Linked DNA regions of Saccharomyces cerevisiae S288C. The gene in region 3 interacts genetically with the main gene of each other region. Each region holds a gene or a part of one and is shown on either strand. Other genes may lie near its edges.

Region 1 (6,288 bases), on a different chromosome or scaffold from region 3:
AGGATTTTTCCAAAGCTTTTGAAAAACTGTTGGAGAACGGTATCACTTTCCCTAAAGACGCGCCCAGTCCATTTATTTTCAAGACTTTAGAGGAACAAGGTTTATAGGTCACTGAGGAAAGATATTATTTATTGGTTATATTTCGTATTATTTATCTATTTATTATATTTATTATTATTTAGGCTTATGCTTTTTTCTGAATATCATCTAATACGTTTGTACGGTACGTCTATGAAAAATGGAAAGCCATACAATGGTATATCATAAGGGAAACTATGTTCAAAGAAGTGTTAAAAACATTCAGAAAACATTGTCCGCCTCTTCAAAATGTTTACCAGTGCCATTAGATTGTCATCGCAAAGACTGTTCGCTAGTCAACCTTCTGTCACCGCTGCGGCATTGCGCTCGACTGCTACAACCTTACCCTTAAGATCATATTCTCAGCCCGCATCCCTTCAAGACTCCAGTATCTTGACATGGTCTGATTTTTTCAAATTGAGGAAACAGCAGCGTAGAATCAATGTTGGTTCTTCGCTGTTTACTGCTCTTTTGGGCTGTAACGTTTCATGGGCTTACCTTTCCACAATGGAAATAGACCCGACTCAAATGCTATTCGGATTCGACCCATTAACTGTAATTTCAGCTGGGATAATAGCCTCTGGTGCACTAGGCTACTTGTTGGGTCCGATAGTTGGTTCGCAAGTTTTCAAACTTTCCCATAACCAACAATTGGCACAGTTCAACAACAAAAATAAAGAGTTTCTAAAACATATCATCAATAACAGGGTCGATGCCTCTTCTCAAAGTTTCAGTAATCCTGTTCCAGATTATTACGGTGAAAAGATAGGTTCCTTAAAGGAATATAAGCAATGGTTAAGAGATTGTCACGCTTACGCAAAGAAAGCCAAAGAATTTTTGTGATTGAACGTGTGATCTTTTCCTTCTTCTCAGACTCTGTATATATACATATATGAATAAAGTAGTGCGATATATAACGCTACTAAATAATTCGAATGAAATAGGGAGGAAGTGAAAGGTATGAATATTGTATATGTCCTATACGTCTCTTTTATCTCTGACTTTAAAAAAATGATACGAAATCCACAGGATCAAAAATATCTTCAATCACGTCAAACTCTGAGACAATTAAATCATTAACAGGCAAAGCGGGTGCTAAAGGTTGTTGTAGTAGTTCTTTTTGCGGAATTTCAGCTACTTGTTCATTCGTAATGCTTATGTTGGTATCAACTTCAGTATGTTTAGCTAATTGTGAACTGGCGTGATCATAAAAGGATGAAAAAATATTAAACCTGTCGGAATATTTCTCCATATCCAAGAATTCTTGCATTTCCTTTATGCGCATTTGAAACTTAAATCCTGTCATATCATCGTTGTATTTACCTATGGGATAAAACTCATTGTTCCATATACTTAGAATATCTGGCCTATACCCATCATATTTTTGTACTGTCTCCTGAAATTCTAGTATTATTGGACAGATGTCATTTAATCTCATATCGTTGTAATCTATATAACTATCACCGTTATCTTCTAGTTTCAATTCATTCAGCAAAAATTTTAAAATAATTCTCCATGCATCTTTTTCACATGAGCGATTCAAGATCTTGTAGGCAATTTTAGCGGTGAACATTTTTCTAAAACAACGATAGTACTCAAAGCCAAATTCGTTAAAATACACAGACGAGACCCCGTAAAGAAATTCTATCATTTTCTTCTTGTCGGCGTACTGAATTGTTTTGAAGCGGTCTCCTCTGAGAATGAATGCCGGAACAATGACCAAAACTTTGTTTGCGACAATTTCCACGATTCTATTGGTATAAAACTTTGTCAATGAATCCACCTCTAAGGCATCACTGTTAAAAAAGTAATTGTAGCACTTCTCTGAGATATGAATGACCATATCCCACAAATCTTGGAAACTCTTATAAAATTTTGTAATATTGCAGTCATATTCATAAAAGATCATTTCTCCGTGCAGCAAACTTAGTGAGAATAAATCTATTATCCATTCCATTTCGAAATCAAAATGACGCATTGTTTCTTTTTCGTTTTTCGACAGGCTTTTTAAAATATGAAAGTTTCTTTTTAAATCATTTATTAGTCGGTGCAACAAGTTCAAATCTACCTTTCCTGGATCATCGTTCAACGTATCGTTTATCTTTTTCATCAAGTTATCCAGGGTTAACATTCGTATATACCATGTGGGTGTATCTGCTTCTTCTTTGAAATGGCACTGCAAGGTTTTCCCAATTTGACATTCTTCACCGCTAATAAAACACATCTTCCTGTCCCAAAATAAAACATAACTCCATATCTTTCTGAAAACTGAAATGTAATCGCTAGGTTTCATTATATCGTATGAAGGCCTCGTATGTCGGTTTATTTTAAATGAATATTTTTCTGGATGAGAGAAGCAATACCAGTTAATGCCCATTTCTTTACATGATGATATTATTGTCCCCATTAAGATTTGACAATATTGAGTTTCGGGTCCATCGCCATCTTCAGGGGCACACCAGTGCAAGAACCTTAGTAATATGAGACATTGCAACTGTAATAAATTACATTTTCTGAGGACCTTCGTCTCGAACAAATAGTGTTTAACAAGAGCCAAAAACTTAGAGGTATCAATTTCTTGAAGAACCGGGTATATATATGGAGTTAGCTTCGAAAACTGGACAGAAAGTCGGCATATTTTAATAATCAACAAGATTATGCAGAAAACCATATGATCGTAGTGTTTTATAGAAATTGGATTCCCTTTCTCGACTATATTTTGATAAAATATCGTTATTTCATGACGCAAAACTTTCATATCGAAAATCGGTATCATATTGTAAATTTTTTCTTCAAAAAGTGCTAAAACCTCACTTTCAAGTATTTTTAAAGGAGGCAAATAATCCTTTGCTAATATAGTTTCTGAGCTGAATTTTTTAGCATTATTTTCTCTGTATTGAGCGAATTTGTTAAACAATGATTTGTGAATAGTCTGATGCATGCGGAAGTTATTGCCCTTACCAACAACATCATCGCTAATGTGGCGTTCGTCATCAGCATCGAAAGTGGATAAAGCTTCGAAAGATTTAGGCAAGCTTCCATTTTTCACATTATTGCCGTTGCTTCCCAATTTATCCATCATTTTTTTGATTGCGATACTTCTAAATGTTACCATTGCTTGGAGATAGGGGTCGCGATTTTCAATTGCTCTATCCGTGAACAGACCAAATAAATTATCAGCAGACCTTTTGGTCTCTAAATAAAACCCATTAGGGATGAGGTCAATAAAAAATGGAGTTTCTTCATGAATTGGTAGATAATAAAGTGATGATTGATTTTCAAGTTCTCGTACTCTTTGCCAGTGATCTTCGTCTTGTCTTGTCTGTGACGATCTTCTTTTCTTAATGAAACCTGGACTTATTCGTTCCGCAGGAGTTGATTGTTTCCTCAGAGGGTCAGCATCATTCAATGAAGGACTGCTTTCAGGTTGTCCAGAGCTATCGGTGAGATAGACACAGCTGTCCACATCTCCCAGTCGTACACATGTTCCACATGGTTTCGTTCGATCGCACTTACTTTTCCTTTTTTTGCAATTTGTGCATACTACAGTAATTCGATGTCGTTTTTTTGTCCTAACTTGGGAGTCATATCCCATTATGAGATCAGTTGTCAACTAAAGTCTGGTATCAATTGGTTTCTAGTTTCTTTCTTCTCTTCATAGACTCATAACACTGCAAAATCGCAACAATAAATTCATGACTTATTGTTATGCAAAAAATTACCCGAATGTGAAAGATTAATAAGCTCATCGCAGTCGCAGAAAGAGTGAAAAAAATACCTAAGAATGCCTAAATTAGCTTAAACAAAAGTCATTTCTAGAAAGCAATGAAAAAAGGGCAATCTAATGATACCACCACGAATCGTTCCATGGAGGGATTTTGCTGAACTAGAGGAGCTGAAACTTTGGTTTTACCCGAAAAGCAAAGGAACCATTGAAGATAAGCGACAGCGTGCAGTGCAAAGAGTACAGAGCTACCGACTAAAGGGTTCCCAATATTTACCTCACGTGGTGGACTCTACAGCACAAATAACATGTGCGGTATTGCTAGACGAAAAGGAAGCGTGTTTAGGAGTACATCAGGATTCTATTCCTATCCGGTTATCGTATGTAATGGCTTTGATTCGGTTTGTCAATGGCTTATTGGATCCAACGCAACAATCTCAGTTCGCTATTCCCTTACACACATTAGCTGCTAAAATTGGACTGCCGTCCTGGTTTGTTGATTTGAGACACTGGGGTACACATGAGAGAGATTTACCTGGATTAGAAATGCTTCGTTGGGCCGCCAATGAAGCGTTATCTTGGCTATATGATCACTACTGGAACGATGAGGAATTAGAAGATGACAGGGATGATGATGACGATGATGATGATACCGGTTACGGATACAGAAGAAATGATAAACTGGAGAAATATATGGAGTCATTAACTAAAACACTTGATAAATGGAAGCGACTTAGAAACGAGTTTCTGGAATACAAATGGGTGTGGGAGAATGCAAACGATAGTTTAATTACAAGTAGTAACTTTTCTGGGGATAATTTGGTGAACTATGATGCCGAAAAGAGGAAAAGTTCACACGCAAGTTCATCAGAAACTATGATCAGGGAAAATTTGCGTCAATGGCAAGAACTTTGGAAATTATCCATTTATCACAATGTGGTTCTTGAGAAATTTTTTAACAATTATGACCCACTTTTACTCAAAGTTTTAATGCTTAATTTGAACAATTTTGATTGGAAGGTCATTGAGTGGGTAGCTAGGAATTACAGAACCCAACAAGATGATAGTAATATAACGACAATTTTAAAAAGGAAATTCAATGCCTGGAAAGAACTACAAAAAAGGCTGTTAGATGTTATTATAAATAACCTTAACAATAAAAATTTTAAAAATAAATGGCAAAATTGGGAGAAACTTATTGATGAAAATGCGTCATACTTGATATTGTATTTTTGCCAATCTATGCTGGCCAAACTAGAGACTGAAAAAATTACTGGTAACTCATGGAGAAACAAAAAACGGAGAAAACAAATTGATAGCACAGTGGAAATCGAGGCAAAACTGAAGGAAAACATAGACAATTTATCATTAAGGTTTAATGAAGGTGAAATAAAGCTGTATGATTTTATTCCTGCGGAAAAAGATTCCGTTCCATTGAAGAAGGAAGTGAGTCCGGCATTAAAGGCTGATACCAATGATATACTAGGCGATTTGGCGTCTTTGAAACAGAGAATGAGCAGTTTCGGAACAGTAGGTAAAAAAAATAAACAAGAGGAGAACAGAGCTACACCAGTAAAAAATTGGTCAAGGGTTCAAAATTGGAAACCCAAACCCTTTGGTGTCCTGTAACCTGTTTCCAATGCTCGTTATAAATACGTTGTAGACTATAAAGCTGAGTTGTATGCTGCACCCTAACGTGCATGTATATATAATCACAGTCTCTTTAACCTAATATGCAAACGAAAATGATTTAATCAAAACAACCTCATACTCTATGGGAATAATCTTTCAAGATACCGGTCATATGAGTGTTAGTAATCTTACCCTTTCTTTGTCTCTTCTTTTTAACTTCAACTCTCTTTGTTTGTCTTTTGATAGTAGCAGGATCGACACTAGCAGGCTTTAGACCTAAATCTTGCAGCTTTCTTGGCAATTCTGCAAATTGCGGTAATTGCACATTTTCCCACATTTTAACAAACTCCTCGTCAATACATTTCAAGTTACCACCGCTGTTATACCAAACGTATCTTGGAGTTTTATCCTTTTTAGTTCTTAACACCAAAATTTTGCTGTCTTCCTCCAGTTGGTTAATCGTTTCATCGCATTGTGGCCAACCGTCTTTCAAGTCTTTGCAGGAAATACCTTTGAATGTTACTTGTGAACGTAACAACTTCAGCAGTTCCGAAGGGGAATGGACATCGTAGGTGGAAAGGTATTTGAAAGTCCCCTTCTTGGGGTCAAACTCTATTCTATCTAATTTTTTTAAAAGCTCAATAACCTTGTCATCTTTTTTCATTGACAAGTAGTCCAATAACTCATTCACCAAAACGGGCTTACCTTTCTTTTGAATGTATTCAGTCGCCCAAAGCAACTTTGAAGAATCGTGACTCTTGGAAATATCTGTTTGATTTGCTTGTAAAGCGGCTGCAGCAATAGAGCCAGGCCTTACTTTTTTTGAAGGAGAGCTACCAAAATCTTCGTCGTCA
Region 2 (6,068 bases), on a different chromosome or scaffold from region 3:
TAATTAAGAGTTATAATGTTTTTGCAAAACAAAATGAGTATTATATTACATTGAGTTCCTTCCCAAGCATCGGGTTGTTTATTTCTAGATATACGCCAACTAATACATTTCTAACTTCCCACCTTCATTACATCATAACCTGAAAGTGAACAACCTCCTCTTCGGTGATCCGTACTCCAGTTTATTTCATTTTTCTGTAAAGCAACTACACTATATTTATTCTCTATTTATTTTATATACCTATTGTATTTTAATTAATCGTTATTTTGTCCGCACCTTCTTCGTAATCGAATTTACCTTGTAAACGAGTCGTCATGATAAGCATTTGCTGCATTACTGAACGTTTATCTTAGCATGACATTAAAGTCCGTTTGTCTAAAATATCACCCAATTATTTCCGCGGTGTGAGCGCCAGATAAGGTGCTTCGGGTAATATGAGAACGCCGTTTCTTGATAGCATTTTTCAATGACTAGATAGGTAGATTACCTCTGTATCACACTTCTCGTACCAAACGAAACTCATATAAATAATGCTTTCCTTCTGGTGCCTTCTACTTTCCGCTGATCTCTATTTTCAAATTAACCGCTGAAATATAAACTGTGGAATACTATAACATAACATAGATTTAAGAATAAGGTATTCATGATCTCTGAAAAGGCTGCTACCGCTTTAGCTACTATAGCAACAGTTTGCTGGTGTGTCCAGCTAATTCCGCAAATAATATATAATTGGAAAAAAAAGGACTGTACGGGGCTGCCACCACTGATGATGTTCCTCTGGGTTGTTTCCGGAATTCCATTTGCCATATATTTCTGTGTTAGTAAAGGTAATGTCATTTTACAAGTTCAACCACACCTTTTTATGTTCTTCTGTTCTATAAGTTTCGTCCAATCGTGTTATTATCCACCAATCAGTATGGCGAGATCCAAAATAGTAATGATTGTAGCTGCTATTATTGCGGCTGATGTTGGCATGGAAGTTGGCTTTATATTATGGCTGAGGCCCCTTTACGAGAAGGGTGTTAAATGGCCCGATCTGATTTTTGGTATTTCTGCATCTGTTTTGTTAGCTGTCGGACTGCTTCCACCTTACTTTGAACTAGCCAAAAGGAAAGGTCGTGTTATTGGCATCAACTTTGCCTTCTTATTCATCGATTCATTAGGTGCTTGGCTATCTATCATCAGTGTTATCCTAGGTAATATGGATATTATGGGTATTATATTATACTCAATAGTTGCTGGAATGGAGTTAGGAATTTTCGCGTCTCATTTCATATGGTGGTGTAGGTTTAGATTCCTAGCTAAAGGCAATACTTTTGACGAAGAAAGTGGCCAAGCTCAAAAGGAAGAACCCGATGAAAAAATCGAACAAGATATTAGCAAGAGTGACCGAAATGTTACTAACTATAACCTGGATAACTGTTCAATCCCCGACGATGCTTCGAGCTTTGCAGACGATTTTAATATATACGATAGTACTGATGGGGGGACGTTATCAAGAGCCCAAACATTGCATGCTGTCCATGGAGTTGTGGTTAGAACAGATCCTGATCGTTATTCGAGGCTAAGTGTGTAACGAATCTGAGTCCTTTTTAGTTAGCACGTTTTCATCTCTTTTTGATAGCACGCTTAATAATATTCACCACTAGCGCAGTAATATGGCATCTGCCGCAGGTGTAAAGGTTTTCACTTCGCTTATATTCACAATACTATGCGTTCAAACACGGCCATCAGAAAAGATCAAAATAAGGATTATTAATTAAAAACTTAAACAGAAATTCAGTTTGCAACACCCTTCGCAATGGCGAAGTTTCCAAAAACAAAATCTCCAAACAAGATTAACATTCTTCTTATGTAACCACATGATATGCATATTTTATATAGACTGTACACATGAAAAACTTTTATCGTCCAAAATAATTAAAAGAAAATTTCAATCATACCATAGCACACTGTTCCAGTAACTGAGAAAAACATTGTGAAGCAACCAACATAATGCCAGATTGGCGCCAAAGTGAACCGACTAAATAACAACAACAGGCACGCACAGATCAAAATAAGGGAAACCAGTAAGGAAATGATAATAATGGCTATGAGAATATTTTGAATTTCTAAATCTATCTCATTATTACTTTGCCCGCGAAACAAGGATAAAACGATTCCCAGACATACACTTGCCATAATGCAAGATGTTAGCAGTGCAGACAAGTATAAAAATGTAACAACTTCGTCATGCCTATATTCGTAGATAGATTGTGAGTCCTCTATGTCTTGCTGTTGATACTGTAAGTACCTTTGAACGTCATCATATGACGCTGAAGTTGATTGTGAACCAAATGACGCAACAGAACCATAGTTAGTTGATGAACAATGCGGATGCTTAGAGTTTTGAAACAAATCTGGCGATGTTTTCTTGTCATGGCGAATCAAGTTTCGTAACTTCTCACAAAAATCATATGTGCGGTTGATGAAATTCCGGCTAAACAAAATAAACCCATAATCAGGCGGAGAATTTCTCAAAAGTAAGGATTCTTCGTTATCTGTTGTACTCCTGCTTCCATTAGTATCAATGTAAAAAGCATTGTCTAAATTATCCTCTTCTTGTTCATCAAATTCATTCCAATACCTAATAGGTTTCTTTTTAGTTTCATTATCCGATTGCTTTGATTTTTTGTGAATTCGAACTCTTCTGCCGCTGTCAACACTACCTTGTGAGTTGTTTATCGGCCCAGTCAGGTCAAACTCTTCCTCTAGACGATCCTTGCCCAGCTGGAAAAATTCATCAGGTGATAGCGAATCATCGGAATTTAATTTATATTGATCTCTTAGTAAAAGTTGAAATAAATCATTTTGCAATTCATTTGAGTGTACTAATTCTAAACATATTTTCCATGTGGTTAAGTCTGGTGGTATTAAGCTGCATTGAAACTCATTTGTAACAACTGATTTCATTAACTGTTTAAACTTATTGTCTTCATTAATAGCCGTCTGTGAAAGACCACTGGATCGACTAAGCTTTTTAATTTCTAAAATTGGAAAGGGTAATGTAGATACATTTCCAATAGTGATAGATTCATCCAAAGCTATCAAGTATATATCTCCATTGTCTGCTGATATGAATCTTGTTCTTTTAAAATCTAGCTTTGGTTCAATGGTTTTTAATCGATGGGACTGAATCCACTCCAAAGCGATCTTACTGATTGGCGATGGATCCAGTGAGTTTATGAGAGCGCTAATATTTTTTGTGTCGTTGCCACTCCTCATGGCCGAAAGAATATTCTTTACATCCCTTAGAAGCAGATCATTTGTGACAACATGATTTCTTAAGCCGCCCACGTGGCACATTACTATACAAGTATCCTCAGCAGTAGAGCTGACTATCATGTTTGGGTGCTGATTTATATTATCATCAGTAAGTAGTAAAGGACTGCCTTCGTTCCCGACAGTATCTAGTATACTAATAGAAACGTACTTCTCATTGGATTGTACAGCAGAGGGTAATATGTTCTTCTGTTTAGATAGGGATAAGGTATGTTGTAAGTCATTGAATGACTTTGCTGATCTTATAGATTTGTTGCCCGCAGAATTAATATTATCTGTAGTGTCTAAAATCTCCTTTGAAGTGGATATGATGCTATCGTCAATTATCCTAAAACCAATATTCAATAGCATGAACTTCAGTCCCTCTATGTCCTCGGACGATAATAAAAACCTTCCTAGATTCTCTGCTTTATCTATGAGGGCAGTATCGAATTCTAGCGAAGAATCAATCATTTTTGAAGTTTTCTTGTTTGAAAGTAGCGGAATTGACCTTGGAGATGCTGGCAAGGAAGAATTGTTGGCTTCTGGACTTGAACTTGTATGGGCAGATTCATCGGAGCGGTTTAGGGATCTTTGCTCCACTGCTGGCTCAGTTGCATCTTCAAGTTTATTTTCCAAATCATGTAAAACATCAACAATTAGCGAAACTTCTAAAAGATATGGATCTAAATCAAGCTTCATAAATGATATGCCTTCGTGTCCATTTCGTAAACTTTCAGAGTTTCTGATCGACGTAACATACTCACTTGCAGTCAATGGATTTTCACTGTCTTGAGGAAATTCATTTAGTAATTTTTTGAATAACTTTCTCAAGGCAATCCTTTGTATTATCAAAAACCTTGACAGTAGTTGTAGTTCAAAGTTACAATCGTCTACATGAGCGTTGATGATTTTCAGTTTACGAAGGTTGAAACGGTTTCTGGAAGTTTTGTTTAAGCCCTTTGAAAAATCGATTATTGATGATTCCACAGAAAGAATACGAGTGGAAATTTCCTTTATTTTCAAAGAAACAAATAAATTAACATTTTGAAATTCCTGGTCAAAGGCTACTGAACATTGATTCAACAACTTCTCCATGCCCGAATCATTTGGATTGTCATAATCATAAGCCGTTACTTTTTTTATGGCTACTTTTAACTTCTCATAGTTAATATTGTAGAATTTCCATTCAGGGATTGATTTATTCAATATGCGATCTTCAAATTTCATGATTGTACAACCCTTCGTATCTATCCTTACCTAGGGCTGAGATGGAGATATACAAAAAAAAAGCAAAGGTAAAAAGCAAGTATTAAACTCTATCTCTATTATATTCAAGAGGGCAACGGACGAACTATTAATTTATGAATTTTAAAAGTCCTTTGATAGCGTTCACGATAGGGCTTTTTGATCTTGCCTTTGTTTATCTTTTTATCTGTTTTGTTTTTTTTTTTTTTTTTTTCTTGGTTCAGTTTTGACTCTTCCACACACCCATTTCGCTAGCGTAGAACAAGGGGAGACACAAACTTTCTTTTCCTTGCAAGTTAATAACACAACACCCGTCCTCCTGCACTGAATTTACACAGAAGTTAAGAACCGCCTCTGCTTTTCTGGTATTATTTTGCAGCCTTGCCTAAAAAAAGTGTGGTAATTTTTGAGAATAATATATTACTGTGTTTTTCGAAACGAAAGTTCTGAATATTGGCTTGGTCGCTTCCTGATATCTGGAAACTTGTTTAATGTTTTTAATTATCAGTCTTCAAAGCGTCCTGATATGACTTGCCACGTTTCCATCCATTCTATATGTAGTTTAAATACAATGAGATAAAGGGTGCCTGCATGGAACTTTCCATTCGAAAAAAGAGATCATAAACCTTATCTGTCAAATAAAAGCCAATCTATTTGATTAGGTAAAAAAAGTGATGTCAGACCAAAGTGCCCCTCTCCTGCAATGATCATCGATTACGTACGGGTGTAATGATCACGACAGTAAAGTGAGCAAGGTAACTACTATCCCTAAGTGCGGCGTCATTGTAAGTCTACGACGTAGCATATTCAGTTTACTGTACAAGAAAAGTTTTCTCTCTGTAACAAGAGGAAATTGGTTAGCTTTCTACGCTTACTTCGTTTGGTACGATCAGTAAAGGTGAATAAATTAAGATCCACGCCTTCATATGGCAGGATCCACGATATTCCTTGCAATACCCCTGGATAATTCAAAAACCAAATGTTACACGGTATACTTGAAAATCGATACCATATTAGGAACACACCGGCCAAAGGTTGATAATACTTGGTATGAGATAAAACCCGAGCTCAAGGTTTAATGTTAAAATTTTTTGTATATATATATATATAGTAATGGGCTCGGTTGCAAATTTTTATGACTATCTTGAAACTAGTTGAAATTGCAAGAACCGTCACTCTATGGAGTACATGAACAACTAAAAAATAGCTTGAAGATACTTGCCACTCCATGCCATTTCTAGAAAGGGGTCTCTTGAGAAATGTGTGTTAAAATAACGGTTATATAGTTGGAAAGAATATTACTATTTTGCGATTAAGGGATGCCGTATGGCAGGCAAGGAAGTATTTGATCAAGAATACCGATTAATGAAGCATGTTTGCCATTATCGTTGAACCTTGGTATTTCTCAGGTTTCCTTATCGATACGATAGGAATGAGAATCAACTAACATTTATCGACTACAATTCATTATTACTACTATATTATCAAATGCTCTGCAAGGAGATGACCAAAAAGAAATG
Region 3 (5,044 bases):
AAAGAGCTTTATGATTTGATGAATCAGCAAGCAAAACCTCATGATACAAGTTTCAGGTCAATTGGTGAGATCGGGTTGGACTACGACAGATTTCACTATAGTTCTAAAGAGATGCAAAAGGTTTTTTTTGAAGAGCAACTGAAAATAAGTTGTTTGAACGATAAACTCAGCAGCTATCCATTGTTTCTGCATATGAGAAGCGCATGTGACGATTTTGTTCAAATATTGGAAAGATTTATTGCCGGGTTCACTGATGAGAGGGATACCTTTCAGCTACAAAAGTTAGGTGCATCGTCGTCTAGCGGGTTTTACAAATTTCATCCAGATAGAAAACTAGTGGTCCATTCATTCACTGGTTCTGCGATAGATTTGCAGAAATTACTGAACTTATCACCCAACATCTTCATAGGAGTAAACGGTTGCTCGTTGAGAACCGAGGAAAATCTAGCTGTTGTAAAGCAAATACCAACAGAAAGGTTGTTATTAGAGACAGATGCTCCGTGGTGTGAGATTAAAAGAACGCATGCATCTTTCCAGTACTTAGCCAAATACCAGGAGGTTAGGGATTTCGAATACCCTGCATTCAAGTCCGTTAAGAAAAATAAGCTCGCTGACAAGTTGAATGCAGAAGAACTTTACATGGTCAAGGGCCGTAATGAGCCTTGTAATATGGAACAAGTAGCAATTGTCGTATCGGAAGTCAAGGACGTGGATCTGGCTACTTTGATAGATACCACGTGGAAGACGACCTGTAAGATATTTGGAGAGTAACATCTATTGGTGCAAAGAGCAAAGTTACATTATTTTTAGTAAGTACACTAATTATGCTTAAACTATTAATAGGAAAATTATGGTGCGCATATACATACAGTCGATATTGCTTTCATTTTTTTTTTTTTTTTTTTTCTATTTTTTTCATCAAAAAGGATTCAAAGGTTACCAACAAAATAAAAACAGAGTAAGGAAAAACAGATGTATCTATATGAATAGGATTTATAAATTCTGTTACAATTTATCATTCTCTCGTAATGATTTTTATGAATTTCACCATCTCCTCAATATGGGCCGCAAAGATGATCCAGTAAAAAACAATCCATCGGCAGAAGAGGAATAACAAATAAAGATAACAAAGTTTGACTACTCTTTCGTTGCAAAGTACGGTTCGACAATATTTATTATTCAATTTCTTCAATCTTGGAACCCTTCTTCGCATTTTCATTCTTGCCGTTTTCTTCGCCGTCGTTATCATCGTTATCATCAGCATCATTAGGTTCTGTTTCTCCTGCAGCCGCATTGCTTAAAGATGCCAACATATCTGATAAAGAAGCACCATGGAAATAAGAAGTGTTGCCGTCACTGTCGGAGCTGGGCCTCTGCCTTATTTGAATCCCGGCTTCTAATAGAGCCTCCAACGAAAACAAGTCAATAGGGCCAGTTCTATCCTCACCTGATAACTTTGAGGGAGTAGCACTGCTGCCTAATTCGGTATCAAGATCATCAATTTCCATGTCGTCATTATCTTTACTACGATTCAAGCGGTCTTGTAATTTTTTGGTGGTTATTGCGAACACTTCGTTATCATCATCCGAAAAATCATGGAAATCAAAAATACTTTTCCTTCTTTGGACAAAAGACGTTTGGATATTGTAATTTTTTGATCTCATACGCTCAAACCATTGTGACTCAGATTCATTTTCCTTTAGTAAAGCAACAATGGAAATACTCATATTATCACAGCCAATTCCTGAGCCTTCAGTTGTGGGTGAACAACAAACATCTACGATTCTAGATGAAATGTCGCTCAACGTCATATTACCTTGACTTATACCGTAGTGAACCAAGTCAACACACTCTTGAGAAGTTAAACAATCCCAAATACCATCACATGCTAAAATAACAAATTCATCCTCATCATAATTCAAATTGTGACAAATGATATCAGGAACACATGTAACGACTTGCTCATGAGGTCCCAATTTTGTGTTAGATTTGAATTCAAAATCACCTATGGCTCTTGATAACGCTAAATTTCCATTAACACGGTCCATCTCAACAAAACCATCAGCAGCTACAATACGAGATTTTTCACTTAACAATGTGGGCTTATGATCAAATGACATTGCTTTACTATTACCACCAGTAGATAGAACTGTTCTACTATCACCGGAATTGGCGCAAATTAGTAGCTTTTTCAATTGAGATACCAATATCACAGTTGCTGTACAACCACTATGGTCATCTTTTAATTTTTCATCTTTCAACAACTCAACATCTGTAGCTAAAAAGGTATCTATTAAGCACTGCTCTAACATACCGCTCTTGAAGCTCTCCTGTTTTTTCAGTATAGATATCATTTTAGAGCCACAAAACTCCGCTACAGAAGAACCACCATGACCGTCAAATATACCATAAAATGCGAGATGTTCCTCGTCAGACTCAGCCAAAAGGTTCGGCTCAACAATATGGGCATCTTCCATGGACATACGCCAGCCTTGCATGGCACATAGTCCAAACGCTGTCAAACAGTCCGTACCAGAATGATGCTCTTTGTCGATAATTGGATTGGACAATATTTGACCCATGTTATCTCTCTCTTTCTTCGATTTGTCTTCTTGGCCTTCTTCGTCTGCCTATAATAGAAACTTCAAAAAGTAAAATGAATATAGTCTAAAAACAGAAAGGGGCCTTCCGGTGGCAACAATCGAGCCAACAAGCTCTAAACACCTTTTACTCCTTTGAGTTTATTCTCTTGAGGGACAACCCATGTTGTTTTTTCTTCAACTCGCTGATATCACGCCTGACGAAAATAATGTTTAAAGGTTATTACTACTCTTCTAGAAGCTCTTAAGCATAAGAGCTAATTGTTTCTTGCTATATTACTTGTTGACAGCGGAGTAACATGATAACGTCTTTTTAATGGAAAAGATGACAGTTTCTTCGAATTACACCATAGCTTTATGGGCTACTTTCACCGCAATCTCCTTTGCCGTGGGTTACCAGTTGGGTACGTCGAACGCATCATCAACTAAGAAATCCTCAGCTACTTTACTGCGTTCTAAAGAAATGAAGGAAGGAAAGCTACACAATGACACTGATGAGGAGGAAAGTGAAAGCGAAGATGAGAGCGATGAGGACGAAGATATTGAGTCCACTTCATTGAATGATATACCTGGAGAAGTTAGGATGGCATTGGTGATTCGTCAAGATCTTGGCATGACAAAGGGCAAAATAGCGGCACAATGCTGTCACGCAGCATTGTCATGTTTTAGACATATTGCTACAAACCCCGCGCGTGCTTCATACAACCCAATTATGACACAAAGATGGCTAAATGCTGGACAGGCTAAAATAACGTTGAAATGTCCAGATAAGTTTACAATGGACGAGTTGTATGCGAAGGCTATATCACTTGGGGTGAATGCAGCAGTTATTCATGATGCTGGTAGAACACAGATTGCTGCGGGAAGTGCCACCGTATTGGGTTTAGGACCTGCTCCAAAAGCAGTATTGGATCAAATAACAGGTGATTTGAAATTGTATTGAGGTACAAATGATATATACTACGGGTATAGATATACGTGCATTTATATATTAAGTTGAAGTCTTTTCCCGTTTCTGTTTTTGTATATTTATGCTCATGCCCATCTTTGCACGACAACGGAGTTCAGCAGATCAGCGTCCTTCAATGTTGTCTCATCGTTGCTTATTGGTTTGATAGGAAAGGCATAATTCAAGGTGAAATTCCTCGATGGGTCAGTGTTCGCATTTGATGTCACATGCTCATACAAAAACTTTACTGTATCTGTGGAATTGCAGTGCAAAACTTCTCTTTTGCCATTTGCGTATCTAATTTGGATGGAGGTGTCGCCTTGTTTTGGCTCATTGTCCGGCATGGGTTGTTCCTGAGCAGCGGGTGTCTCATTCTTTGGAACCTCCGCAGGTGACGATTCACCCGGGATAGGAGATCCTAGTCTTTGGCCCTGGCCTGAAAAACCGCCCAGTTTTCTCGTCGGAGCTTTATAAGACTCATCTAATTTTTTATATACATTAACTTCAACTTCTTGTCCAAATTGCACATCTAAGAGCTTTAATGGAGCCCTCCCTTGATTTAACTCGCTCAAATAGAAACTGTTCGCAGGATCATCATAGCGATAAAGCGGACCATCGGCCACTTGAAAACCTTCCTTCCAAAATGTAATTTCTCTTGTGACTTTTTCTGGTCTACGTTGTGATTGTGAAGTGTTGTCTTCTACGACTTCATCTGCTGCGTCGATGGTTGACCCTAATCTAAAACCTCTTCCAGTAAACCTATTGGCACCCATTTCATGGTCTTCGTCATCACGGAATCCGTTTTCAGCGCCCATTTGACCACCCCTTCTCGCTTTTTCCAGCAAATCCTTCAGTAATGAATTAGGATCTGAAGGATCTGTAACCTCTAAGCCGGATGTTTCACCACCAGCAAAAGTATTTCTCGGTTGATCTTCATCGTCATCATCAGCTTGACCTCTTACCATATCCGAAAAGCTCATAAACCTGGAGTTGTTACCACTTCCAGAGCGGCTACTACCCTTGGTTGGTTCAGGAGAGGTAGAACCTTTCCTTTTCAAGTACTCGTTGCTACCTTGTGAGGATCCTGGTTTTGGACATAACCCACCAACGTGCTCCGTATTTATGGCTTTATTCGAAGAGTTGGTGGAGAAGGCTTCTTGCTTGAGGGCCTTCTCCTGCTGTCTGTTCCAATGTGCTTCCTCTCTTCTATCCTTTTGGTCATCCGTTTGAGAAGCATAATAGGAATTTAGTGCTTCATTTAAATCTCCAAATTCAGAGAGATATTGAACGGCTATGTTATGCGACACATTGGTCAATGCCATGAACTGCTGGATGGTTTCATCAGGTATTTCCGCCATACCTAAATAATGAGTTAATTGTTGTGCTACCGACGTTTCTTATATATTTAAATCGAAATATGTTAAGCATACAACTATTAAACCCCTTCCGTTCTTTATTGCCATCGATTTTCGCCACCAATAAGAGTTCTAATGCG
Region 4 (3,146 bases), on a different chromosome or scaffold from region 3:
AAAAATGAATGAATGAATAAAAAATAAACGAAGTTTAAGGAATGAATACACTGGAAATTGTGTGGTCGTACTTTTTTTTTTTTCTTCTTAGTTACCGATGAAAGGAGCGTAAATTGCGGTTTAAAATCTTTGCTGAGCTTTGATCTGGGAGACGCCGAGGTCTCGAGAAGGAAACACATTAGATGGTATTCACTTATATACCCGAATCAGGAGAAACAAAGGCGAAAAAAAGGAAAAATTTTGTTTTGTCTGCTTTTTTCTTTTTCCGCACGACCCGGGCCGGGCCGTGCAGAAAGACCTACTTGCCCAAAAGCGGCAAAACGTCAACACCACCTCTACATTTCTTTTTATGGACTCATTAGGTTTCCCGATCTGGAAAAGAAAGGGCTTTTCCAGTGCCGCGGCCTCGAGATCCAGGCACCAGGAACTAGGCACGCTGTGTATTCTAACACATTGAAGGGCCTAGGCCCGCTGACGTGGGGTCTAGTTCCACTTTTTCATTACCTTTTCTCGGTCTTTTCTTGCTCCCACAGGCCGTTAATGGCCTGAAACAGTTTTGTGACTTTGGACTTATGATAACGATGTTTGTCCGGGTGCCACCGGATTCTATCGCGGCGAATCAAGTCTAGTCTGTTTGCATCCATCAAGGCACTGCTCATTGTGTAAAATTGTTCTACGCTTTTGTCATCAATCATATCTAAACTCACAGCCGCTAGGGTAGGTGTGCCTGGCAGTGGTAAGGTAGCCGGCTCGTCTTTGGTCATGCGCCAATACTGTCGAACGGCCCGCGCGTAGCGTTCTTCGGCTTCAACCTTAGAGCTGATACCTTTTGCCTGGTCAAAGGCGAAAACGTCTACCTCGCTTTCACTGCTGCTTTCGCTTTCATGACTTCGTTTCAAGCGGTCTCTTTCGCTCTCGGTTGTAACACACTTGTAGCCTGCTATGCTTTCACCGTACTCGAAAAGCGTAGCCTCATGACTAGTTGTACCAACGCCCTTTCTTTTCTTTTTTTTCTCTTGACACTTCGGCGTATTCATCGCCACTGGTACAAGCCGTATGGTGCTTTTTTGCTCATTTTCGTTTTGACGTTGCGATGGTTTCGCGGACCAATCGCATGGGTGGTGGTGGATGTTGTCTTTGCTAGTTGCAACGTAGTCTTCTTCTCTCCTGCGCTTTCTGACGAAAATTGGCCTTACGTATCTTTTTTCGGCGTCGTTGTCGTCATCGCTGTTCATATAATCGTCGTCACTCATATCGGCGCTTTTACTGCATGCTGTCTTTTGAAGAGAGTTTCATTGAAAAGTAGTGAAGAAAAAAAAAAAAAAAAAAAAAAAAAAAAGGAAAAAAGCTTACATACGGAAAGAGAAAAAAAAAAAAAGAAATTTTAAAATGGACGAGTCCGGAATCGAACCGGAGACCTCTCCCATGCTAAGGGAGCGCGCTACCGACTACGCCACACGCCCATAGTAGATATATTTTCTGATGTCCTAGGAATTGGATCATATATTTTTACAAGAATGTGATGTATCAAACAAGCTTGGAGTGGAGTATTCATGATATAATTACCGTTCTCAACCCGCTAAGTCCCAAATACTATCTTTGTGTTGGCTGTTCAATCTCCGGAATTTGTGCATTTGCAATCAATGACAGGGCTTATATCAAGATCTGTTGGAATAAAAATCCACTATCGTCTATCAACTAATAGTTATATTATCAATATATTATCATATACGGTGTTAAGATGATGACATAAGTTATGAGAAGCTGTCATCGAAGTTAGAGGAAGCTGAAGTGCAAGGATTGATAATGTAATAGGATAATGAAACATATAAAACGGAATGAGGAATAATCGTAATATTAGTATGTAGAAATATAGATTCCATTTTGAGGATTCCTATATCCTTGAGGAGAACTTCTAGTATATTCTGTATACCTAATATTATAGCCTTTATCAACAATGGAATCCCAACAATTATCTCAACATTCCCCCATTTCTCAAGATCATAAGAGGGGATTTCCTTATGAGGAAAAGAGCGGAGCCGCAGTGAAAGTTAATAACGATTTAACTTTTTTTGTCTCAATTACGTTTTAAATGTCATTTATAGTAGGAAAATGTTTAACAAGCAGTGAAACTGCAAAGTTTAGTTATCGGAGTGGCGGAAAAAAAAAGGAACTCCGAATCCCCAAAGTTCAATAAGGAAATGGGGAGTAAGGAGGCTGAATTAGTTTGAAACAAAACTGCTACCAGCGGATTTAATCGGAATCAATTAAAATATCAAACAAAATGCGGGGAAATCATATTGATTGATTGAAGCTCACACAGATTAGTTTTCATCTCGCTGTCTACTAAAAGATTTATTTTTACATTTCCTAGAAAAACATAAATAAAATAACAAAAAGTAAAAAAATAGAAATACCTTACTTTCTTTCATAGTATAATTTATCTTATTAGTGCACGGAAATATACAATTTTTGACTATAAACATTTCCCTTTTTTCTTTAGATTAATGACGAGAAAATAAATATATTTATTATGATTATCTAAAAAATAAAGTCTTTTTTTGTCGTTGTTCGATTCATTAACACCAGAAATTCCAGATTCTATACCATCTTGGCTTTGTGGCCATAATTGCCTTTTCTTCTGCAATTTCTTGTTTCAACAAATCTAAATCGACTTCTCTTCTACCCGTATCAATGTCCATCTTTTCTGCTGGGATGAAAAGCTTCCAATTCCTCTTATAGATCTTGTGTCCGATGTACATAACCATAACAAGTGGGAAGGATAGATAAGCTTCGAAGAAACCTTCCGCACTTGGAGAATCTCCCACGGGGAATACAGCAACGTAGAATTGGGCAATGAACATAATAATAACCATAAATAACCCCCAGTAGGAACCCCAAACACCGGTAGGAGACTTGAAAGACAATTCATCCAAGCCTCTTCCTTGGGCGGCCAATGCCTTTCTGAAACGAATGTGACAAATACAGATACCACCCCATGTGAATAGAGATGACAACCCAGACAAGGCTAGTAACCAGTTGAAAACTTCACCTTCCTTTTTGGAGGCGGCAACAAACGCAATAAGACCGAATGCAGATGTGACAGCAATTCCCACCAATGGTCTACCCTTACGGTCAACGTAGGA

The links.
Region 1: mutations in PTC3 (region 3) and OAF3 together harm fitness more than expected from each alone (negative genetic interaction), as found in Saccharomyces cerevisiae (one large-scale study listed by BioGRID).
Region 2: mutations in PTC3 (region 3) and VTC5 together harm fitness more than expected from each alone (negative genetic interaction), as found in Saccharomyces cerevisiae (one large-scale study listed by BioGRID).
Region 4: mutations in PTC3 (region 3) and YKR041W together harm fitness more than expected from each alone (negative genetic interaction), as found in Saccharomyces cerevisiae (one large-scale study listed by BioGRID).

Annotation. Positions count from the first base shown.
Region 1 is NC_001143.9:559,932-566,219, reverse strand, and holds OAF3 (Oaf3p), read right to left. Parts: upstream 3,674-6,288; coding exon 1,082-3,673; downstream 1-1,081. Other genes in the region: CCP1 (cytochrome-c peroxidase), read left to right, coding at 1-107; PAM17 (Pam17p), read left to right, coding at 328-921; rRNA-processing protein LAS1, read left to right, coding at 3,923-5,431; transcription factor TFIIE subunit TFA2, read right to left, coding at 5,568-6,288. UniProt on the Saccharomyces cerevisiae protein: Transcriptional inhibitor with a significantly increased number of target genes in response to oleate.
Region 2 is NC_001136.10:620,574-626,641, reverse strand, and holds VTC5 (Vtc5p), read right to left. Parts: upstream 4,531-6,068; coding exon 1,921-4,530; downstream 1-1,920. Other genes in the region: ILT1 (Ilt1p), read left to right, coding at 644-1,576. UniProt on the Saccharomyces cerevisiae protein: Regulatory subunit of the vacuolar transporter chaperone (VTC) complex.
Region 3 is NC_001134.8:111,300-116,343, reverse strand, and holds PTC3 (type 2C protein phosphatase PTC3), read right to left. Parts: upstream 2,583-5,044; coding exon 1,176-2,582; downstream 1-1,175. Other genes in the region: YBL055C (3'-5'-exodeoxyribonuclease), read left to right, coding at 1-771; PTH2 (aminoacyl-tRNA hydrolase), read left to right, coding at 2,917-3,543; protein phosphatase regulator SHP1, read right to left, coding at 3,636-4,907.
Region 4 is NC_001143.9:516,305-519,450, reverse strand, and holds YKR041W (uncharacterized protein), read right to left. Parts: upstream 1,254-3,146; coding exon 501-1,253; downstream 1-500. Other genes in the region: amino acid permease GAP1, read right to left, coding at 2,580-3,146.